Macaca fascicularis: one gene and its partner. The protein of the gene in region 1 purifies or fractionates together with the protein of each later gene. This does not show direct contact. Links are inferred from orthologs where the notes say so. Each region holds a gene or a part of one and is shown on either strand. Other genes may lie near its edges.

The links. The genes of interacting proteins can lie anywhere in the genome.
Region 2: the proteins of CCNH (region 1) and ERCC2 purify together in Homo sapiens (affinity purification with mass spectrometry; 3 studies listed by BioGRID and IntAct, counting the BioPlex papers as one, with this or other methods). This does not show direct contact. The link is inferred for Macaca fascicularis from reciprocal best matches to the Homo sapiens genes CCNH and ERCC2.

What each region holds. Positions count from the first base shown.
Region 1 is NC_088380.1:91,396,236-91,399,983, reverse strand, and holds the start of CCNH (cyclin-H), read left to right. Parts: upstream 1-1,402; 5' UTR 1,403-1,512; coding exon 1,513-1,629; intron 1,630-2,951; coding exon 2,952-3,074; intron 3,075-3,748. UniProt on the Homo sapiens protein: Regulates CDK7, the catalytic subunit of the CDK-activating kinase (CAK) enzymatic complex. CAK activates the cyclin-associated kinases CDK1, CDK2, CDK4 and CDK6 by threonine phosphorylation.
Region 2 is NC_088393.1:53,406,218-53,409,865, reverse strand, and holds part of ERCC2 (general transcription and DNA repair factor IIH helicase subunit XPD), read left to right. Parts: intron 1-48; coding exon 49-150; intron 151-1,652; coding exon 1,653-1,716; intron 1,717-2,528; coding exon 2,529-2,650; intron 2,651-3,648. UniProt on the Homo sapiens protein: ATP-dependent 5'-3' DNA helicase. Component of the general transcription and DNA repair factor IIH (TFIIH) core complex, not absolutely essential for minimal transcription in vitro.

The DNA of each region.
Region 1 (3,748 bases):
AAAGAATTTATATGATATATATAACTGTCATGAGTCTAATACTTTATATAGACATTTAATTATCTAGATCACTTATTTTCCTATCTTTTGTACCATTAATGTTTTTCTCCATTAAATTATTCTTTCCCCCATATGCAACATTTTAGGTTGTTCACAATTCGTTGTTATCAATTTGCCATGCCCTTCAATCTTCTCTTTCTCTTTTTCTCTCTTAGCCAATTTACGACACCAGATTAGCCACATATGTTGAGTGTGTGGATCGCCAAAATTATAAACCACAAATGGCATAAGTTTGAGGAATTCAAATAACTCTGGCAAACTCTAACCTCAACTGCACCCAACAAAAATGAACAAGAAAAGACTTTCCCTATCTTAAGCCTCTAAAAACATTTTCATAGAAAGCAGAGTTAAAGCCATCCTGCCACTTCTTTTTAGGCTTTTCAAGACCTAAATTCTCTAGGTCTCATCATCTTTCTCTTTCTATTTATTTATTTATTTAGAAAAGCTATTTGCCATAGGGAAATTTGGATATATAATAAATACATGAGAGAATAAGGTATGCCTAAATGGGACACTTCAGAATCAACATAAATTTTGGATCTCACCTGCAATTTTGAAAGTCCTATTAATTTAAAAACTAGTAAATACCTTAATATTCATGATAGCTTACTGTAAGATTCCCTAGAGGCAATGAAGATGGGAATCTCAAGAAAACTAAAACTACCATACATCTTGGCTTCAGAGGTGAAAATAGGGGGAGAGGATTGGCTAGTTATCAACAGAAGGGAAAGTGCTTTTTGCACAGAGAAAGAATAGACAAGGCAACAAAAGTGGCAAACTGTAAGGGCCAATACACATCCACTGCTTCAAGTTTTTCAGCCATGTTCCATTCTCAGAGATTTCTGGTAGTACTTCAAGAACACCGATCTCCAAACTCCTCCTGAAAAGGGCTAGGAATGCTTCTGCCTGAAGATCTTACCTATTCTTTCTGGGCCCCATGATCTCCCTACATGATTGATCAACCTACTATTTCAACTCGAAAAAGCCTTTTCACAAATGTCAACTTCAGTGAGGCCTCCATTTAAAAATGAACACCCTACCAAGTCCTTTCCTAATTTCTGATTACACCCTGTGAATTTACATCAACCTACCCCACACCCTCAGTTTATGCCTCTTTTGAACATTCCTGCCGGGCTTCTCCTTTAAATCTTGCCTGGAAGGGGCGGAGCTATGTCCCAGGCTCACCGGGAGGAGCGTTCCGTAGGCTCCGCCCACCTACGTCTCAGAGGGCGCCCCAACGAACCCTGGATAAGGTCTCTTCCTAGTCCGCTCCGGAAATGCGACTGCGTACGCGCTGGACACGCAGTCGTGACGTCAGCGCGCCCGCGCCGGCTGGCCGGACGCCCTAGGCTTCCGCGAGATCTTAGGTGGGGGTTCGGTTGCTTTACGCCACGGCACTGCTGCGGTTGGGTTGTCACCTGTAGGCTGTCTGGACCTGGTCACGATTCCACAATGTACCACAACAGTAGCCAGAAGCGGCACTGGACTTTCTCCAGTGAGGAGCAGCTGGCAAGACTGCGGGCCGACGCCAACCGCAAATTCAGATGCAAAGCGGTGGCCAACGGGAAGGTGAGGTTTTCCCGACGGTTGCCCAGTTGCTTGGTCACTAAATTCTGAGCAGCTGCGGGAGCTCTTCTGGCTCCCAGGACAGTCTCACTCCCTCATTTCTCTGCCTCTGCGGCGCGGAGTGCGTTTATCTATTAAAATAAGCGAGCACCTCGCGAGGTTCCGTGGGTACAAAGACGAACAACGCCATCCCCGTGGTCGAATGGCAGACAAGTAACCAGTCTTTGTAACGTGGTGAAGAAGAGAGTAGGTAGTGTGCTAAGGTAGTGCGTGGCAAGAGCCGTTCACTTGTCAAGCGGTGATGTTGGGGAAGGTTTTTCCCAGTAGCCAATGCGGAGAAAATGGGGAAAGGACGTTCCAGGCAGTCAGAACTACCGTGCAGAGTGGGAGGGAGGTCAGAAGTTACAGGGCTGGTGCGTGGACGTGTTTGTGGTCGTATGTGGCCGAATGTGAGTACCTGTACAGGAATGGCTGGGGAGGGTAGGAAGGGAACTTGTTTGTAAGTGGAAGTGAGGCGTTTGAAATTTCCATTGAAAGGATGAGGAACCTTTGAAATATTTAAAATGGGAAGCTAACCTTATCAGATTTCCGTTCTGGAAACAGCGCTCTAGCAACCTCGTGGTGAATGGGTTGGATGAGGCGGGAGACCGGCGACGGAATACAAACCAAGTGACTAAAGATAAGGTTTGGACTGTGGCCCGCTAGCCAAGTCCCTTCTGTTACAGCTCTAGGACTGGTTTAATCTTTCTTACAAGCTCCACTCCAGCAAGTGTTCAGTGCCTCCAAATTACTGACACTGAATTACTTTACTTTCTACCTTTAATTCACATCACTGATTTTAGCACCTGAATTAGTTTCCTTAAGGGCTGCCTTAAAAAAATCACCACAGACTGGGTAGCTTAAAATAACAGAAATTTATTGAAACATTTGCTGTTTTTTTACAACTTGTGTCGTAATGACTGACCGAGAAACGAATGTTGGAAGCTTTCCAATCATATTTGTAAAAAGTCTATCTACTTTTAAATTTGTAAATAATGATATCACAGCTGTGAGCATATGCACATAGCCTATCGTGATTGTTTATATAATGAAGCAAAGGTCTAGCTGACATTCCGAAAAGTTGTGAAATGATGGTACAGTTTTAGTTTATTGTTTTCCTACAGCTATTTTGTGTAATGATTAGCGAATCTATAAAGAAAACGAGGCGTGATATATTCCCCTTCGTTGGAGATATAAACTAAATTTAATCTGGATAGAGAAAAATGTTTTACAATTGTTTAATTCATTGAATTCATTGAACTTGTGTTGTAATTGTTGATCTAAAGGTTCTTCCGAATGATCCAGTCTTTCTTGAGCCTCATGAAGAAATGACACTCTGCAAATACTATGAGAAAAGGTTATTGGAATTCTGTTCGGTGTTTAAGCCAGCAATGCCAAGGTCTGTTGTGGTAAGTTACAGTAGTGATGAAATATAATGTCCTTTAGTTGACTTGTGAAATTTGACCTCTTCTAAATTCCCTGTCCACTCTAGTCTTAAAAATTCACGTTAGTTACAATTAATTAGTTTTTGGCACATTATATCTTTTTCAGTTCAGGCCTTAACTCTTGAATTGCTGTATCATATCTTCAAAAGTATTTCAAGTCTCATTTTGTGGTCAGAAAAAAATTTGAGGTCAGGTAATGTTATAAAGAAAGAAACAAAATAAATTACTTTCCTCTAAGTTCTCAACTAGTGAGCCATAGAACTGGGACTAGAACATAGACTACTTGCTTTTCCAACTCTGTGACACCCAATAAATGTTTGAAGTAATGCATTCTTTCATAATTGGTAATCATATGCCCCAGCTGAAACTGATACCATAAGATTTTTTTAAGCCTTAATTAGTAGAAGCTGGAGTTTTATCTTTGGTTAAAAAAGATTGTCTTATTGCTTCAGATGTATGGTTCTGAGGACCTGTTTGTTTTTTGCTGGGGTGGGCAACCGTGAGGAGAAACAGGTAGCTGAGATTAAAAAGCAGAAAGATAAAAAAGCTAGAGTGGGAGGGTGTTTAAAATGTCTTTACGTTATTCTCTCACAGGTTTGTTGCAAAGAACAAATATAGAAGTGTATCTTAAGTAAAAG
Region 2 (3,648 bases), on another chromosome or scaffold:
GGTCCCTGCCCAGTCCTGCTGAGATCCCTCCCACTGTCCCCCCTACAGACACTGTCCCCGCTGGACATCTACCCCAAGATCCTGGACTTCCACCCCGTCACCATGGCAACCTTCACCATGACGCTGGCCAGGGTCTGCCTCTGCCCTATGGTGAGTGGGAGAGGCTAGGGCTGGGACTGGGAGGGGAGGTGGGAGCAAGGGGCTGCGTCCCTTCCTTGGCTTCCCCCACTGCTCAGGCAGGAGAGTTTTACAGTGAAGAGGCCGGGTTTGGGATTCAGACAGACTTAGGCTTGATTCTGCTTCTCCGGGGGTACAACTCTCAAACCTCAGTTTTCTTATCTGTGAAATGGGAATGTATCCTCCCTGATCTCCCAGGGCGGTTGAGAGGATTGAGAGAGAACTGGGGTAAAACACTTAGGTACCCCAGGGTCTGGCACAGGTAGGCGCTTACTCAGCATCTTGGTTAACGTGGCTTTGCCGGGTACATGGTCTGGCTGTGACCCAGGTAAGTGGGCCTTCCTGTCCATCTCCATCTCTGTAACATGTACATGTCAACATGGGCCCTCAGTCCCTTATCTGAAGTCCCGAGGCTGGTTTTTTGTTTTGAGATGGACTCTTGCTCTGTTGCCCAGGCTGGAGTGCAATGGCACGGATCTCAGCTCACTGCAACCTCTGCCTCCTGGATTCAAGTGATTCTCGTGCTTCAGCCTCCTGAGTAGCTGGGATTACAGGCGTGTGCCACAACGCCCGGCTAAATTTTGTACTTTTAGTAGAGACAGGGTTTCACCATGTTGGCCAGGCTGGTCTCAAGTGATCTGCCCACCTGGTCCTCCCAAAGTGCTGGGATTACAGGTGTGAGCCACTGCGCGCAGCCATTTGTTTTGGAATTCAGAATTTTCCAGCCTTTAGAGACAAGGCATATGCTGTGTAGTGTGTGACGCCCCCAGTGGGGTCTGGGTGGCTCCCCCGAGTCAAACTCCTATTTTGGCAGTAAAAGATTTGGAAGCATCACATTAAGGAGTAAGTCAGGCCTCTGCAGAGACTCAGGGCAGGGCAGGTTTTGCTACTTAATGAGTTTGTGCCAAACTGAAAAAGAAATGTGTTCAGAGCTTTTGGCTTTTGGAGTTGCCCTGTCAGAGGTTGTGGACCAGTGATGACCACCCACTGCATGGTGGTTGTGTGAGGTTGCCGGCTGGCGGGGATGCCCACCGGCATAGTGAGGGGTGTTCTTCGGGATCCGGCTGGCCTGGGGCCTGGGGCTGGCTAGAGTGTAGCTGCTGGTGGAGAGTGTGGACAGACTCGGGTCCAGTTCCATGTTTGCCACCTATTCACTGTGTGACCTTGGGCAGGCAACTCACCTTTTCTGAGGCCAGGGTAGCTGAGGGTTCATTCAGTGACACTGTGTTAATAAAAAGTTTAGAGCAGACTGGGTGTGGTGGCTCACTCCTATAATCCCAGCACTTTGGGAGGCCAAGGTGGGACAGTCGCTTGAGGCCAGATGTTCAAGACCAGACTGGGCAACATGGTGACGCCCTGTCTCTATTAAAAAAAAAAAAAAAAAAGCTTAGAACAGCACCAGCAGGTGGTCAGCACTCACACGCTGGAGCAGTTGCTGCTGCCTCGCTTATCATGATCTCTGTTGCTCTCTTCAGATCATCGGCCGTGGCAATGACCAGGTGGCCATCAGCTCCAAATTTGAGACCCGGGAGGATATTGGTATGCTGCCAGTGGGGCTGGTTTCTGTGGGTTCCAAGAGGGAGGTGTATCAGTCAGATGGGCTGAGTCACGCTGCTGTAACAAATGTCCCTGGCCTTAGTTGCTTAGCCCAGAGCTTCCTTCTTGCCCATGGGACACGTCCACTGCGAGCTGGTAGGGGGCCTGCCCTGTGTCTCCTCACCTGGGAACCTCCATCGCTGGGTGCGTCAGAGGCAGCGTGATATGACAGGTGGGATCACAGTGGTCACAGTGAATTGTGCACTGGTTCCTAAGGGTGCTCCCCTGGAAGTGACACATGGCCTTTTTTTGAGACAGAGTCTTGCTCTGTTACCTAGGCTGGAGTGCAGTGGCATGATCTCGGCTCACTGCAACCTTTGCCTTGCGGGTTCAAGCAGTTCTTGTGCCTCAGCCTCCCGAGCAGCTGGATTTATAGGCATCTGCCACCACGCCAGGCTAATTTTTGTATTTTTAGTACAGATGGGGTTTTGCCGTGTTGGCCAGGCTGGTCTCAAACTCCTGACCTCAGATGATCCACCCACCTCGACCTCCCAAAGTGCTGGGATTACAGGCGTGAGCCGCCGCGCCTGACCCCTTCTGCACTGATTTCATTGGCCATGGCAAATTACATAGCCAGGTGTGACTTCAGGAAGTGGCAAGGAGGGTCCTCAAACACGCCTGGGAGGAGGAGGAAGGGGATGTGTGTGAATAGCCTGACAGCCAGCCTCAGTGGGGTTTCCAGAAACTCTAGTTTGAAGACAGAGAAGGGAGGAGGATCTGAGACAGGAGAGGGCCTAACCTCTGACTCCTCGCAGCTGTGATCCGGAACTACGGGAACCTCCTGCTGGAGATGTCTGCTGTGGTCCCTGATGGCATCGTGGCCTTCTTCACCAGCTACCAGTACATGGAGAGCACCGTGGCCTCCTGGTATGAGCAGGTATGCCTGGCCACCCCCTCCCTGCACTTGCTCTCCTCAGCCCCTGGCACTGCAGGAGGGGAGTCACCTGTTCTCCTCAGCCCCTGGCACTACACTGCTATGTCAGCTTCATTCCTCTTACCCTCTGATGGTGACAGGTGTCCTGTGTGACAGGAGAGTGCATGCAGCATGTAGGAATGGGGTGTAAGCAGCACATACCCTATGCCCCGCCCCCAGTACATCAGGCTGAGAACGCAGACATAAGCCCCAATGTGGGCCCCTCCCTCAGAGGAGTACCCTGTGGCGGAGTCACCCCCACCTTCTAGGTTCCTTGCTCCCCTGCTGCTCTTTGGGGCTACCCCATCCCTGTGATCCTCCAGCACAGATGGCCTGGTGGGGAGGCCCAGGTAGCAGGTGTGACTCTATCTAGGTTAGAGGAAGGTTCTAGAGAATCAAGGCTGGACTGAGACTCAGGGCAAAGCCTCTCAAGGGTCTGCAGGAGCCCTTTCAGGGAAGCAGGCAGAGGAAGTCATGGGGCATTCTGGAAACAGGGCTCACCACAGCCAGTCCCTGGGTGGGAGGGGAGGCCACTCTGCACTTTGTGCCTCTGAGCACACCATGGCCAGGCTCTCAGGAGTGGGTGAAAGCACATTGGGGCGAGGTGAGTGAACCTGGCTAATCCAAGTATTGGAATGGCACTCATGGGAGGCAGGAACCTCATCCTCACAGCCGGGACCTTGGCCTTGTGCTTCAATAGGTGGCTTCCACACGGCGGAAAGGTGATCCAGTCCCCACAGCCCAGGTGCCTTTTGTGTCCTATTTAAGACAACTTTGTCTTAAATACCCCAAGGTCATGAAGAGAGGCTGCTGTGTTTCCTTCTAGGAGCTTGTGGTTTTAGCTTTCACATCTAGGTCTATGAGGTACCTCAAATTCATCTTTCTATATGGTGTAAGGTAGGGGGTCAAGGTTCATTTTTTGGTTCCATTTGGAAATCCACTTGCTCCAGTAAAAGCTTTCC